2 linked regions of the Pelodiscus sinensis genome follow. The protein of the gene in region 2 purifies or fractionates together with the protein of the main gene of each other region. This does not show direct contact. Links are inferred from orthologs where the notes say so. Each region holds a gene or a part of one and is shown on either strand. Other genes may lie near its edges.

Region 1 (7,500 bases), on a different chromosome or scaffold from region 2:
TGTTCCTCTTGGTTTCTGAGGACAGGACAAGGAGTAATGGGCTTAAAGTGCAGCAGGGGAGGTTTAGATTGGACATTAGGAAAAAATTCCTAACTGTCAGGGTGGTCAAATATTGGAATAAATTGCCAAGGGAGGTGGTGGAATCTCCCTCTCTGGAGATATTTAAGAACAGGTTAGATAGACATCTGTCAGGGATGGTGTAGACGGAGCTTGATCCTGCCTTGAGGGCAGGGGGCTGGACTCGATGACCTCTCGAGGTCCCTTCCAGTCCTATGATTCTATGATTCTATGATTCTACAGTCCCATTTGACCAGCTGCTTCATGTTCCACTAGAGAACACAGAGAAGGGAAGGCACTGAGTTGTTAGGAGTCAAGTGGGCTGAACCCGCCTGCACCTAGAAGTGGCAGGTGCCTGAGTGGAATCTGCCCTGCTACAACAGCCCTTCAGGTAGCAAGGCCAAATGGAAGGCAGAAATCTGGAGGGGCAAGTGACCCCATCTGTTCACCCCACATGTCACCTCTGACTCCTAGTGCAGACCTTGGCTAAGTTTCCCTCCACAGTCCCATCTCTCGGTGTTTGCAAAGAAACCCTTGAAAATGTAAAAGAAGTGCCAGCCTGACTGCATTAGCAGAGAGCCTGAAACAATAGATCTGACAAGTGTGACCTGCTCCATTCATGTCGAGGGTATTTCCTCAACATACTCAATGCTGATACCTCAAATATCAGCATCTACTTCTAAGGTCAGTCGTATCATGAAGATCTACACAAGCTTGAGTGCACCTACACTTTTACCACCCAGCTACCATTTTCCCACAGCCATTGTAACCCCACCTCTTCCTGGGTCTCTCTCTACTGCAGCTGTCCTTAGAAAGCAGGTTCTCACAGTTTGGGGAGGAAAGCAGGAAAGGTAATTCAGATTCAGGCTATATTAACTTGTGTTGGTGTCTACTACTCTTTATGTGCAGTAGAGTCCACAGGAAAGCAGCTGGTCCCACCGTGTGCTTCTCTCTACACTCCACAGAGCCCTCCTGGGACACTTTTATGGGTTGAAGGGAAGTGGAAGGGAATGTGTCACAGAGGTAGAACTCCACTGAGAAGTTTGGCTTTTTAAATGGTGAAAAATGTATGCAGTGAGGACAGCCCCCATGATCCAGGGGTAACATGCTGGATCTGGGTATGAGCTTGTTCCCTTGGGAGCACAGCAGATGCTCCCCGAGGCAGAATTTCAGCCCTTGGGGGAGCTGACACTCCAAATTGTGATTGAGTAACCCACTCTTGCTCAGGCTCAGAGGAACAGCACTGAGCTTTATTGCTCCCCGTTGAGGATTTTGGGGGCAGGGTGAAAGGTGTTCCTGTTTGGACTTCTGAGCATGAAAGGGCAATTAAAAGTGAGTAAGTAAGATTTGGAAGGTGCCGCCTCTGGAAGGAGCATATCCCATTTTCTTAAAAAGGTGGCATGTTAGAAACAGGTGAATAACAATGACAGAAATCCATCCAGTAGCATTGGTAACATTTTCACCCCTGACAAAGGGTGAATTGCACTATAGAAAAGTTGAGCCTGTTCTCTAGGTCATTTTGTTTCCTCACATGTAAAGGAAATCTAAGAAAAAGATCGTCAAGATAAATTACTAGGTGCAAGTGTCCAAAGCCTAGCACATGTCAGGCCTTTCCACTACATCCCTAGTATGCATTAGGTTACAATATTTTGATCTGTTTAGATTCTATAGGCCATAAAGTATTGAAGGTAGAAGATCTTGACTCTGTATTAATATTAACCAATCATATGCTACTTCAGTCTGGTTTTCCACACTGGATCTTAAAAGTGATACTGGTAAATGAAAATGAATCCAAGGCACAGGGAAAAAATGGCTTTCATACCAGGGCAAGGCCTGAGATAATTTAAAAGTGTGGGTTTCTTGTCTTTTGAGAGGGTTCTGGATAGAGTATTACTGCATGGCACATTTGTTATATCTATGCTTTTCCAATCAATAATATATATGGTGCCTACTGATCTTCAGCTACACCAGACTAACAGGGCTACATTTCTATCACTGCTGATCTTAGGGAATTCCGGGCAGAGGATGGACATAGCTATAAAAGCATTTTATTGAGAAATTGATTTAAACTCACTAATCATAGGAAAATGGCCTCTCAGTCCATCCTTTATTAACCCTGCTGTGAAACTAGCGATAAGGGAAGATTGAATATTAATTCTGCAGGCCGAGGTGGATTTAAGTAAGTCCGTGGTTGCTTTTATTAAACAGGAAATTAAACACAGGAACCGGCTTTGATTTAACCTCTTCAGAGCTGACACGAAAACCAAGCACCATAGCCTCTCCTCTCCTCTCCACCCCACCCCGCCTAGTAGGAGGCACCTGCTCTGACGATGCACTAATAGGAATGGGCATGGCTGTAAACTGGGACGAGACCAGGGAGACAGGCGAGAGGGCTGGTGAAACGCTCTGGGAGGCCAGCTAGTGCATCCCCCCGCTAGCAGGTCTGGTCTCTCTAGTTTGAAAGGTGCCGGGCTTTGTCCAGACGGAGCGAGGACCCTCCGATTTAGGAGAGCGTCACTCAGCTGCGGTCACCAGAGCACTTTGCATCCTGTCAGCAACCGCAGAGCGGTCCCGAGCTGTTTCCTATGGGGGGGGGGGCGTTTTCAGTGCCTGTCTTCCCCGCCCTTTTCCATGCAGGCTGGCTGCTTTCTCCAGTGCTAGAAAAGCCGAGCAAAGAGAGAGCGTTTCTCGGCCCCCTGCCCCCTGCCAGCTTTTACACTCGGCATCCCGGGCGCGTCCTTCCCCACCTCAGAGCACCAGGCTCGGGCAGGTGACGCTGCGGGTGGTACCCCCAGAGACACGCGCCTCCCTCCACAGGCTTTACCTTGCTGGGCTCCCGGGCAGCTGTGGAGCGGTTCGGCGCAGCGCTCCCCGGCCAGGGCAGCTGGGAGGAGGTGGACAGAGCCCGGCGCTCCCCGGCAGGTTGACTCCCCAATGGCTGCTGCCGCTGCGCTGTGTGGTGGTGCCCCTCTCTGCAGCGTGATCGCTGCTGCTGCGGCTGGGGAAATGCGCTGCCTCGCGCTGGCCAAGCTCCTCCCGGGCACCGCCGCTTCCCTCCTCCTCCTCGCCCCTGGCACTGACATCTCCCCGCCTCCCTGCAGCCCAGCCCCGCGCATCTTCAGCGAGAGAGGCAGCCCCTCCCCGAGACACACTCACGGGGGGCGGCGGGAGGGGGCGGTAGCTATCCCTGCCAGGCCCTGGCGCTAGGGACTCGGGGGGGGGGGGGGGGCGGAGGGCAAAAGGGACCGGGGAAAGTGTCACATTCAGGAGCATCAGGGTCATTTGTGCTGCTCGAGTCAGTAGCACAAGTCACATCCAGGCTGACACAGGGACACCTAGTCTGCAACTTGAGTGGAAAGGCCCCATTAGTCATGCCTATGACAGGCACCAGGGCTGCCCACCATTTCAAAGCAGGAGAGTTAGGCCACACCCAGCCTGTGTCATTGGGAAGGGGCACATCCTGTCAGTGACCCCAAATATTACAGGAAACTCAAAAGAACATATGTTTGCCCTACAATACAAAGGCACAAGGGCAAATGGGGCAGAAGAATTTGCTGCATCTGGCACACAGCTTGAAGAATGTCCACATCCAGACCCCAGCACAAAGGCATCAGAGGCTCACCGTGCCCCCTACTAGTTAGTCACATTCAGCTGGGCTGCACCAAATCACAAACCTCACCTACAAAAACAAAGCTTTGCAGAGGGACTGAGGTAGGCCAGTTGCTGTTGAAGGCACAGTGGTCCCCAATTGGAGCAAGGTAGCAAATATCACACACCCCACAGATTCTCTCTTTCCTTTAAGTTCTCCTAAAAGCTATTGTGCCTTGGACAGGAAGACCTGGAAATAGGCTTTAGTTAAGATATGAAATATAAGTACCAAGCTGAGGTGCCTCAATTTTGGGGTGTTCAACTTGAGACACCATCTGAAGAGCAGAACCCTTTTTGCTGCTTCCTTCTTCAGAAGCTGTCCAGGAATAGGGTCAAAGTGGTCTTTTACTGTCATGCCATGTTCCTGAATGGACAAAGCCAGACCATTTCATCATGATAGCAGTAGAGAAATATCTGTCTACTTTTATTGTTATTATGGTAACACTGAAGATGTATTAGGCATTTGTCAAAAACAGGAAAACCAAGTCCACACTCTTTGGTCTTCCAGGTCAAAGATGTAGTGTTTAGTGACACTTTACTGGCCATTTCAAAAGATACATGATACATTATTAACCTAAATGCTGTTATATATTTTTTTGAAATGCCATTATATTTGTTACAAATTAATACAATTCCATGTTTCAGCAATTGCTCACACCACACTTCCTTAAAACCACAATACACCCTGGCTACGTATAGACTACATCCCATTTTCGTAAAAGGGATGTAAATTAGATGTATCGCAATTGCTAATGAAGCGGGGATTTAAATCTCCAGTGCTTCATTAGCAAAAAAATGGCTGCCGCTTTTTTTTTGGCACGGAGCTTTGCCAGAGAAAAGCACCAGTCTAGATGCTGATCTTTCAGAAAATAAAGCCTTTTACAAAAGATCTCTTATCCCTTATTTCAAGAGGGATAAGGGATCTTTCAGAAAAGGCTTTATTTCCCGAAACATCAGCGTTTAGACTGGCGCTTTTCTCCGGCAAAGCTCCTTGCCGAAAAAAAGCAGCAGCCATTTTTATGCTAATGAAGCATGGGAGATTTAAATCCCCGCTTCATTAGCAATTGTGATACGTCTAATTTACATCCCTTTTACGAAAAAGGGATGTAGTCTAGACGTAGCCCCTCAATCCCCATAGAGATGCACTTTTTTATATGTCCTACCCCTGTGCTTCAGCATAGGGACATGTGCTACATCCAGGTCAGTTGGGGCACATCTACACAGCAGAGCTAAACTAGCTAATTGTGTAGCTTAAGTCAAAATAATTTATTTCAACTTTTGGTGCCGTCTACACAGCAGTTATTTCAAAATAGAGTACTCTTCCCCCAACTTCCCTTCCTCCTCATACAATGAGGGTTACAGGAGTCGGAGTAAGAAGTCCTCCAGCTCAACATTATTTCTACATTATGTCTAAATAATTGCTTGTGTGTAGATGCAGACTATGTTATTTTGGAATAGCATAAGTTATTCCAAAATAATGCTGCTGTGTTGACATAGCCTTGGAATAGGAAGTGGTTACATCAAGTCTATAGCTTCATTGTTAGATGACACTTACTCTATCCTAACGATGCCACAATTCAATGTCAAAAGGGAAGGTACAGAAGAAAACAAATTAATAAATAGCAACAGGTTGCCAGTGAAGTCAGTAGGGGTATGTCTACACTACCCCGCTAGTTCAAATTAGCGGGGTAATGTAGGCATACCGCAATTTGCATACGCCGAGTGCCGCCATTTTTAAATCCCGGCTGGTTCGAACCCCGTGCCACACGGCTACACGCGGCACGAACTACCGTTACTCCTCGTGGAATGCCTACCTAGTTCGTGCCGCGTGTAGCTGCGCGGCACGGGGTTCGAACCAGCCGGGATTTAAAAATGGCAGCACCCGGCTTATGCAAATGAAGCCCGGGAAATTCAAATCCCGGGCTTCATTTGCAATTGCGGTATGCCTACATTACCCTCCTATTTCGAAATAGGAGGGTAGTGTAGACATACCCCTATAGGAGTCTATCATACAAAATTTTGAAAGGAACTTTAAGAATAAAATTGCTTATGTATAATAAAACAGCTATTATATTGAGGGATGGAGAGAAATAAATGTTGTTGTTGTGCCTATCTTTACAAAGGTACTTTAGGGGTGCTCCTGGGAATTACCAAACCTAGGAACCAGTCAGAAACCTGTAAAATTAATCAACGCAGTGAGCCCTCTACTCCTTGTGCTCTCTGATTTCTTACCTTCTCTACCTCTGCACAATATGGCTTGTCATTTTTGTTGAATTCATGATCTAATTTAGACTACAAGCTCTAAAGGAGAGTCAAGAAAACATTATTAATAATATCTATTTCAGCATCAATTCATAACAAACAATACATTTTTCATCATCACCCACAGTCTGTCCCAATTCTGTATCTTCACTTTTAATTAATACCTGTAAAATTTTGCAAGTAGTTATGTTCAGCCATGTGATATTAGACAATCATTTAGCTAAATAATTAATGATGTCTAAGGTGACTATGCAATAGGAGAGATGCCAGGTTCTTAAAGTTCCCTGAATTCTAAATTTCTCGACTTCTGAGTTCAAACAGCAGTGGTTTTAGGCCTTTAAATGTATTTTTAGGTCAGCATTTTGAAGCAAGATAATGAATCTTCAGAAATGGATGAATCATAGAACCATAGAGCTGGAAGAGACCTCAGAAGGTCATCAAGTCCAGCCCCCTGCCCTAGGCAGGACCAGTCCCAACTAAATCAACCCAGCCAGGGCTTTGTCAAGCTGAGACTTAAAAATCTCTAGGGATGGAGACTCCACTACTTCCCTAGGTAACCTATTCCAGTGCTTCACCACTCTCCTAGTAAAATAGTTTTTCCTAATATCCAACCTGGACCTCTCCCACCTCAACTTGAGAGATCTGAGATGTTGTACTCCATCCAAAAGAGGGCAATGACAGAAATATGAATAATAGCCAGTATATTAAAACACTTCTCATTCCCTTTGTCACACAAATCTGAGATTTAGGTACAAGCTTGGCCAAAGCATATGTAAATATAATGTAAAAAAATGCACTGTAATAAAATGATTAAACCTCCAGGCTACGTCTACACTGGCCCCTTTTCCGGAAGGGACATGTAAATTTCAGCAGTCGTCGTAGGGAAATCCGCGGGGGATTTAAATATCCCCCGCGGCATTTAAATAAAAATGTCCGCCGCTTTTTTCCCGCTTTTAAAAAAGCCGGAAAAGAGCGTCTACACTGGCCCCGATCCTCCGGAAAAAGCGCCCTTTTCCGGAGGCTCTTATTCCTACTTCAAAGTAGGAATAAGAGCCTCCGGAAAAGGGCGCTTTTTCCGGAGGATCGGGGCCAGTGTAGACGCTCTTTTCCGGCTTTTTTAAAAGCCGGAAAAAAGCGGCGGACATTTTTATTTAAATGCCGCGGGGGATATTTAAATCCCCCGCGGATTTCCCTACGACGACTAGTGAAATTTACATGCCCCTTCCGGAAAAGGGGCCAGTGTAGACGTAGCCCCAATGTCTGTCTATATCCCATTCTCTATCACATGCACACTTGTAAAATATAAATGATACGGTCATGTGTGGAAGGTCCAACATTTGATTGTTTCTTATATTTATGAAGTCCATATACAACTATATTTTAAAATGAATAATAATTTGACAATCTTTTTTACAGTTTATTACTGTAGTTTGTTGAAATACTAAATATTAATGAAAAAAAATCACATTAGGTTATTATGATAAACAATGTGATACACAGCAACAGTTGACCCAACAACCTCTTTATGCTATA
Region 2 (7,292 bases):
TACCTCCCAAATGGATATCAATACCAAAAAGTTATTAAGGGAACAATTTCTCTAACCTTGAGAAGTTGGAGATAGAATGGTTTGTTATGCCAAGTACACCAGGGATTCTTAACTATTTTGTAGCAAGAAACATGTGACTGACTGTGTTATTGGGGGCGAAAGAGTTGTTGATCTTCTACCCACAAGTCTAAGTCAATCTTTAAGCAGCTAATATTTACAAGAGACAGAGAACACAGAAGTAACTGTGGACACAAGACATCCCCTTTTGCAACAATGAAGATTTTCTGTTATCGTCAGGAGCTATTTTCCAGACTACTCCAGAATCTGTTTCCATCAGGTGAACTGGACCTTTAAAGCACAATTTTCATTCTATCCAAACTGGACCATCCTCTAGTTCATATTAATAGCATAGTTACAGTGTACAGATCAGAAACAACCAAGGTGACAGATCTATTGTAGTTATGTCAGTGCAATTTAAGTATATAGTTGCACAAATCAAAAAGGGAATTTTATATGTTTTAAACTGAACAAGGACAAATTAAATAGAGATCAGAAATCGATTATAACTGACTATTTCAGACACACAACTCTAACCACAAGTGCATACTACAACATACAAACATTCTGCCCAGAGATGGGCACAGAAATCTCTTCACCTGTATGAAATCACAAGATTCCTTGACTAGCAGAGTGTAATATGCACTGCAGAGGCAGCATGCTCCAGCAAAGGGAAGGGGAGGAGGAAGACAAGTGGCAATTTCAATCACCAGCAATCTCTCATAAGGAACAGCAGTGACAGAGACTGCAAGAGCCCTAGCTAGGCGGACGAATGACTGTTGGAATACGGCACAACGTGTGTGTGGGAAGAAGCTGTGAAGTTGGATCCTTCCTTGGGGTTTCAGCAAAGAGCTGCTTGTTCCCACTGCCTTCACGTGCCTCACACCAGATTTGGGATACTTAGTTTAAGCTTTTCAGGGCATCCCTCTCCTGGTGAAAAGTCTCTCCTGAAGAATGGACCAAGTTAACGCCTAAACCTGCCCTTTTCTCTGCAGGAACAGAAATAGTATTTTCAATGACTCACTGGACTTAAGTGCATTTGACATCATGAGCATATTTATGTATCCTAGCAACCATCTGACAGCAAACATTTTGCAGACCTTTCCCTTTTTCCATACACAGCAGTGAGACTACCACTTTTGGCAAGCAATATATAGGAGAGAGAGAAAGAGAAAGACAGAGAGAGAAAGGCAATCCAACCCTACTGCCCAACAGTGCTTTCCAGGCCCTGAGGATTGCCTTCACCAAAAAAAGTAATCCTGAAAGTGGGCTTTAACCATAGGTTTAGTGGACATGAAGGTGACTAACCAGCAGGGACAAACCACATTCAGCATCACAAAAGATAACCATTGAGAAAAATCCACTAAGAGCAGGTTCTCTCACAGACAGCTGACAGGAGCCTCTGTCCCAACCCACCAGTCAGTTGTAGTCAGCATCATCTCAGCTGCCCAGACTGCTGAAGTCATGTGAGCACAGCCCCAGCTCCTCCAACCGCCGCACCATCTCTGTGGGCCCTGAACATCATGCAGTCCCTGTGCCTGGCAGCCCAAGGACCCCCCCCCCCCGGGGACCCTGCGCCCTCAGCGCCTGGCAGCCCAAGGACCCCCCCCCCCGGGGACCCTGCGCCCTCAGCGCCTGGCAGCCCAAGGACCCCCCCCCCCCCCCCGGGGACCCTGCGCCCTCAGCGCCTGGCAGCCCAAGGACCCCCCCCCCCGGGGACCCTGCGCCCTCAGCGCCTGGCAGCCCAAGGACCCCCCCCCCGGGGACCCCGCGCCCTCAGCGCCTGGCAGCCCAAGGACCCCCCCCCGGGGACCCCGCGCCCTCAGCGCCTGGCAGCCCAAGGACCCCCCCCCCGGGGACCCTGCGCCCTCAGCGCCTGGCAGCCCAAGGACCCCCCCCCCGGGGACCCTGCGCCCTCAGCGCCTGGCAGCCCAAGGACCCCCCCCCCCGGGGACCCTGCGCCCTCAGCGCCTGGCAGCCCAAGGACCCCCCCCCCGGGGACCCTGCGCCCTCAGCGCCTGGCAGCCCAAGGACCCCCCCCCCCGGGGACCCCGCGCCCTCAGCGCCTGGCAGCCCAAGGACCCCCCCCCCCCCGGGGACCCTGCGCCCTCAGCGCCTGGCAGCCCAAGGACCCCCCCCCCCCGGGGACCCCGCGCCCTCAGCGCCTGGCAGCCCAAGGACCCCCCCCCCGGGGACCCTGCGCCCTCAGCGCCTGGCAGCCCAAGGACCCCCCCCCCGGGGACCCTGCGCCCTCAGCGCCTGGCAGCCCAAGGACCCCCCCCCCGGGACCCTGCGCCCTCAGCGCCTGGCAGCCCAAGGACCCCCCCCCCCCCCGGGGACCCCGCGCCCTCAGCGCCTGGCAGCCCAAGGACCCCCCCCCCCCCCGGGGACCCCGCGCCCTCAGGTGCCACATCCCCGCTGATCACCGCCCCGCCCGCACTGGGGCCCTAGGCCCTCGACTCGGCCCCCCTGCCACGCGCCAGCCGAGGGGCCGGCCAGAGGCGCGGGGAGGGGCCGGCAGTGCCGGGGGGGCCGCCGGTGAGTGACGCCCCCGTCACTAATCGCAGCTCGCCAGGGCTCCGGCTCCGGCCAATGGCAGGCGGGGGCGGGACCTGCCCCGTTGTCAGTTTACAGCCAATCCCGTGCGCTTTGCGGAGCAGGAACCGCGGCCCCGCCGGGCGCCCCCCGCCCCCGGGCCCCGCGCTCCCTCACGAGCCCCGGGCCCGCCACAGGGCGGCTCCCCGTCAGCCCCCCCGCGTGCCCGGCCCGCCCTGCCCGGAGCCCGCCCGCGCCGCGCGCCCCCCACTCACCGCGCGCAGCCCTGTCACGGCGGCAGCATCTCCCCGCTGCCTGCCCGGCTCCGAAGCCTGCCTCATCCGGGCTCCGCGGGGGCGGGGCCGCCGCTGTGACGGCGGGCTCGGGGGCGGGGCCGGGCCGCACGTCACAGCGAGGGGCGGGGCCGCGGCCCCGACGCGCCATGGGGAGGCGGGGCTCGGGGTGCGGCGGGCTCTGCTGCCTACGCCCCGCCCCGCGGAAGGGGAAGCAGGGCCGGAAATGCGGGTGAAATCGGGAAAGGGAGCCGCCCGGATCCGGTCACGTGGTAGCCAGGCCCCGCCTCGCGCTGGGGGCGCGGCTCAGGGGCGAGCCGGCGGGGGGCGCCCGGCCCGGGTGCAAAGGCGGCTCCGCGCTGGGCGCAGCGGGGAAGAACAGCGGAAGCGATCGGCTGAGAGAGGCCCGTGCACGGGGGGGGCGCTGACCCCCGCCCCCCAGAGGGGAGACCAGCCCCGCCCCCCGCACGCGCCCCGGGGCCGCTAATAGATTCCGTGCGCGCCTGCCCCGGCCCGGCCCGCGGGGGCTGCAGGGGGGCCCCGTGCAGAGGTCCCCGCCCCGGGGCGCGGCGCTGCGTAGACCAGCGAATCGGCCCGGCCCGGCTGGTCATGCTCATGTGAGGTCCAGGAGATCAGGCACCCCCCTAGACGGGCTGCTGTCACCCCACGCTGCTGCCTCTTTATCAGAGGCAGCAGCACAAAGCGACAGGCAGCCAGTCCGCGAGGGGAGCTGGTTTTTAAACCAGCTCTCCTCCTGGACCCCCTGACTCCCTGCACTGCTGCCTCTGATGTGGAGGCAGCAGCACGAGTGGCAGGGAGGTCTTCGGGAGTGAGGCCAGAGCGCACTGGCTGCTGGCGCTGCCCCTGGGGGCTATCTACTAGCCGTGTCACTGATAAGAATTCATGAGGTTAATTGACTATTTAGTTAACCGATATCTAACATCCCTAGTCGAGACCAGATTACCCCATCCCTGGGCTCTGATTTAGGTAAATATACACTATCCCAGCCCAGAGTAGAGGGAAGTGGGGGGGGGGGGGGGTAAGTTGAAGAGCGAGTCTGGCCCACGCTCAACCTGCATTAGCACTTCCTGGTACTACATCTGAAACAGGACCTGGGCTCAGTCCCACAGGATGGGAGCTGCTGCTGTGGCTTGCATGTGGGGTGAGGTCAGTCTCCAGGCTACCCCGTGGCCTCCCCTCTGACTGGGCCAGGAATAGGGCTGCAGTTCTGGGGAAGTGACACGCGATGAGGGTGATTAAAACAAAAACACAGTTTGTGGGTTGCCTTCGTAAAAAGTTTGGGAGCTGCTGATCTGGGGCCCTCAGGGAAGGGACCGTGGCTCGGTGTGGGTTCACGCAGCACCCTGCCCTGACCAGCTCAGATCTTCAGTGACTGCTCCATTGACTGCAGCAGAGCCACCGGGATTTACTGATCTAGGATCTGTCTTAATACGCCCCAGGACTAGTGCCCATGGATGTGTGTGTCTCACTTAGCTGCTCTATGCTCCAGTTCCCTGCTCTGCGACATGCAGCAGATGGTTCCCTGTCTGGCTTGGATGCTGGGGGGCTTGGTTCGTGTTTCCCGGAGGCTATGAGAAGGGCTCTGGGCGGTTTCACTGTCGTTCCTGCTGCGCAGCCCTTGTCTGCCACTCAGCTCCAGCCAGCCTATGCTAAGCCTTTCCCCAGTCAGAGAACCTATAGCGTAGCGATACGGCTGTGTACTAACATCTGGTCCCTCTCTACCCCTTCTCCAGCATGCCCCACCCTTCTCCCTACTCCCCCTCAGTCTTTTGTCTTTCTCCCCCCAAGTCCCGTATTCTAGCTCACTGCACGGCTGCTGTGTCCGGAATATCCGGGCACCTCGCACGCCTTGACCTATTGGTCTCACAGCATCCCTAGGTGGGGGGGAACTTTGCCACTGAGAAATGAGGGCCTGGATCCACAAAGGGACTTTGGCATTGCCTGAGTCAGCATCGTGGGACCTAAACCATCACAGGACCAACATTCGGTGATCCACAAAGCTGAGTTAGGGCCTCAGTGCATGGGGAAGAAACAGGCACCCACGAATGGGACCCACCAAAGCCAGTATGCTGGGGAGGGGGCTACCTCAGCCAGACAGCGGGAGATGCCAATGACGGGTGTGTGCTAAACCTTGCCCTCCCCTGGAGTACGGCACCTAGGCTGGGCTGCAGGTAGGTGCCCATTGGGACAGGTTGGCCTTGGGGTGCCACCAGGAGCTGGAGTACTGCTGAGCCCTCTGACCCACCAGCCTGAGCTGCTTCTCATACTGTGCTGCTGTGAAAAGCTGCAGATCTGCTCCTGGTGCTACACGTCCTCCAGCGGTCACACGGGTAGGGGCACACCCAGCTGCAATACAGGCAGGCCCCTGACCAGTCACTGCATGGCGCGGCAATAGAGAGGCTACAACTTCCCAGTTTAGGACCCCTCACTGGAGTATAGACCCCACATGATGCCATGTGGCACCGCACAGGGAATTGTACCGTGTCAGCTCATAGAGTTCCCCCACTCCCAATGTGGAGAGAAAATGCAACCGCCCCCCTGAGCTCAGATTTCCCAGCATTTCACTCCAAATGTGCTGGTTTGGATTAGCACATCAAACACGTGTATTAATGATTAAAACCCAAGCTTTTAAGGGATTAAAAGTGACAGCAAACAAATCAAAGCAGATCACTTAGTAAAAACGCAAATCAGGCCTAGGATACTGGAACGATAGGATACGAATTAGCAAACTCTCGCCCTGGCTGAGGATAGAACCAGGCTGTAGATTCTCTAGTTTTGCAGCTTGGAATCCTCAGGTTTTCATACATGGGCTAGAAACCCGTTAGCTTGGGGGCCCACACTGCCCCCAGGTCAGTCTTTGTTCCTCAGGGGTTTGGGGAGGCCTCTGGTGTGGGAGTAAAGAACAGCCTCAGACGTCTCTCTCCACCTTATATCGCTTGGACACATGCAGGAACCCTTTGCTGGAAACTCAGCTTGTGGGAAACGTTGCCACCCCAAGATGGATGCCCAGAGTCCTTGCGTACCTTGCTGAGCCATAACGTACCAGGGTCTGGGACAGTCATAGCAAGGTGAGGTTCTTCCAGAGTCCGTTGGCTTTGCTGATGGGCCGTCAGCGTTGTCTGGCTTCTTCAATGCCGCCCCGGAAAGGCTGGTTGTGGGTGTCGCCCAGAGTGAGCACAATTTTCATACAGACCCAGTGTCGATGTTCCTAACGCTAGGGACTGGAGTGACACATGCACACAAACAGAATAGGCAGAATCAACGAATCACAGCCCCCCGTGACACCTCCCATCACCTGTCTTACACAAAATGCATCGTACTGATGCCATGGCCGTGTCATCATGAGATCCCTGACGAACGTGGCATATAATGTCACGTCCCTGCCTCCTAGCAATACGTGCCTGGGAAGGATCCTATTCTGGAATTAGGCGGCTGCCTTGCTCCTCCTGTAGCAGCGGGGGAGGGGGAGCAGGCTGACCTCTCTGCGTAACTTTTAGCCCAGTGGTTTTAGCACTCACCTGGGACGTGGGGGACCTGGGTCGAATCCCTCCCTCTGTGCTGTCTGCACTCGAGAGGGATGGAGCCTGGCCACGGAAGGGAGCCTGCAGGAACCCGGCTTCCCCGCCGCACGTCCCCCAGCTCAGTGGCTGCAGGTGCACAAGTAGGATAATCGTGTTCGGCTCCCCATGAGGCAGAGGGGGAACCGAGCCCAGGTCTAACCGGTGGGCTCGGTTAGAAGGTAGGTGCTGCTTCCCCTCCACTGGCCAGATTCTGAATGGGACCAAGGCCAGTAGGTGGCCTCTGAGTGCCCCTGCCCAGCCCAGGCCCTGCAGGCGAGTGGGGTGCCCCTCCACCTGTCTTCCCCCAGCTTGGGCATGGCTCTTGCGCTGAGGCAGGAGCTAGGCTACAGCCACCTGCTTAAAAGGAGGCAGCAACGCGCACGCCCAGGAGCGGAGAGGTCGGTGCCAGCTGGGCACCTACAGTTCAGGGCAGCCTAGTGCGGGGCTTTGTAAGTCACAGCGGTGACTGAACCAGGCTTTTAGACACAGAAGTGGATCTGGGCCCATGCGATTTTGTGACGAGGGCGGATAATAGCAGGAGCAGGCTCAGGGACCCAGGCTCCAAATGGATCTCTGGTTGGGGCGGGGCAGGGCAGGAGGGGGCGTGGGGACCGGGCACTATTCCTGCCCCTGCCAAACTGTTCCCACACGTCAGGGTCTCCAGGGCCGGCAGCGCAGCTCTCTGAGCCTTCCCCAGCAACACGTATTTAACACAGAGTCAAATTCAACGGGCCCGCTTCTCTGAGGGAAGGTCCCACATGTCCCGGGTCCAAATAGCATCCCTGGAAACAGGCAGAAGGTTAATGGATGATGATCCGCACTATTG

What was found. Proteins that work in one complex are often made in the same cells at the same time.
Region 1: the proteins of NDEL1 (region 2) and DYNC1I1 purify together in Homo sapiens (affinity purification with western blotting; 3 studies listed by BioGRID and IntAct, with this or other methods). This does not show direct contact. The link is inferred for Pelodiscus sinensis from reciprocal best matches to the Homo sapiens genes NDEL1 and DYNC1I1.

Annotation. Positions count from the first base shown.
Region 1 is NC_134712.1:211,287,584-211,295,083, forward strand, and holds the start of DYNC1I1 (cytoplasmic dynein 1 intermediate chain 1), read right to left. Parts: upstream 3,015-7,500; 5' UTR 2,882-3,014; intron 1-2,881. UniProt on the Homo sapiens protein: Acts as one of several non-catalytic accessory components of the cytoplasmic dynein 1 complex that are thought to be involved in linking dynein to cargos and to adapter proteins that regulate dynein function.
Region 2 is NC_134730.1:1,649,656-1,656,947, reverse strand, and holds the start of NDEL1 (nuclear distribution protein nudE-like 1), read right to left. Parts: upstream 3,016-7,292; 5' UTR 2,934-3,015; coding exon 2,868-2,933; intron 1,624-2,867; exon of another isoform or gene 1,474-1,623; intron 1-1,473. UniProt on the Homo sapiens protein: Required for organization of the cellular microtubule array and microtubule anchoring at the centrosome. May regulate microtubule organization at least in part by targeting the microtubule severing protein KATNA1 to the centrosome.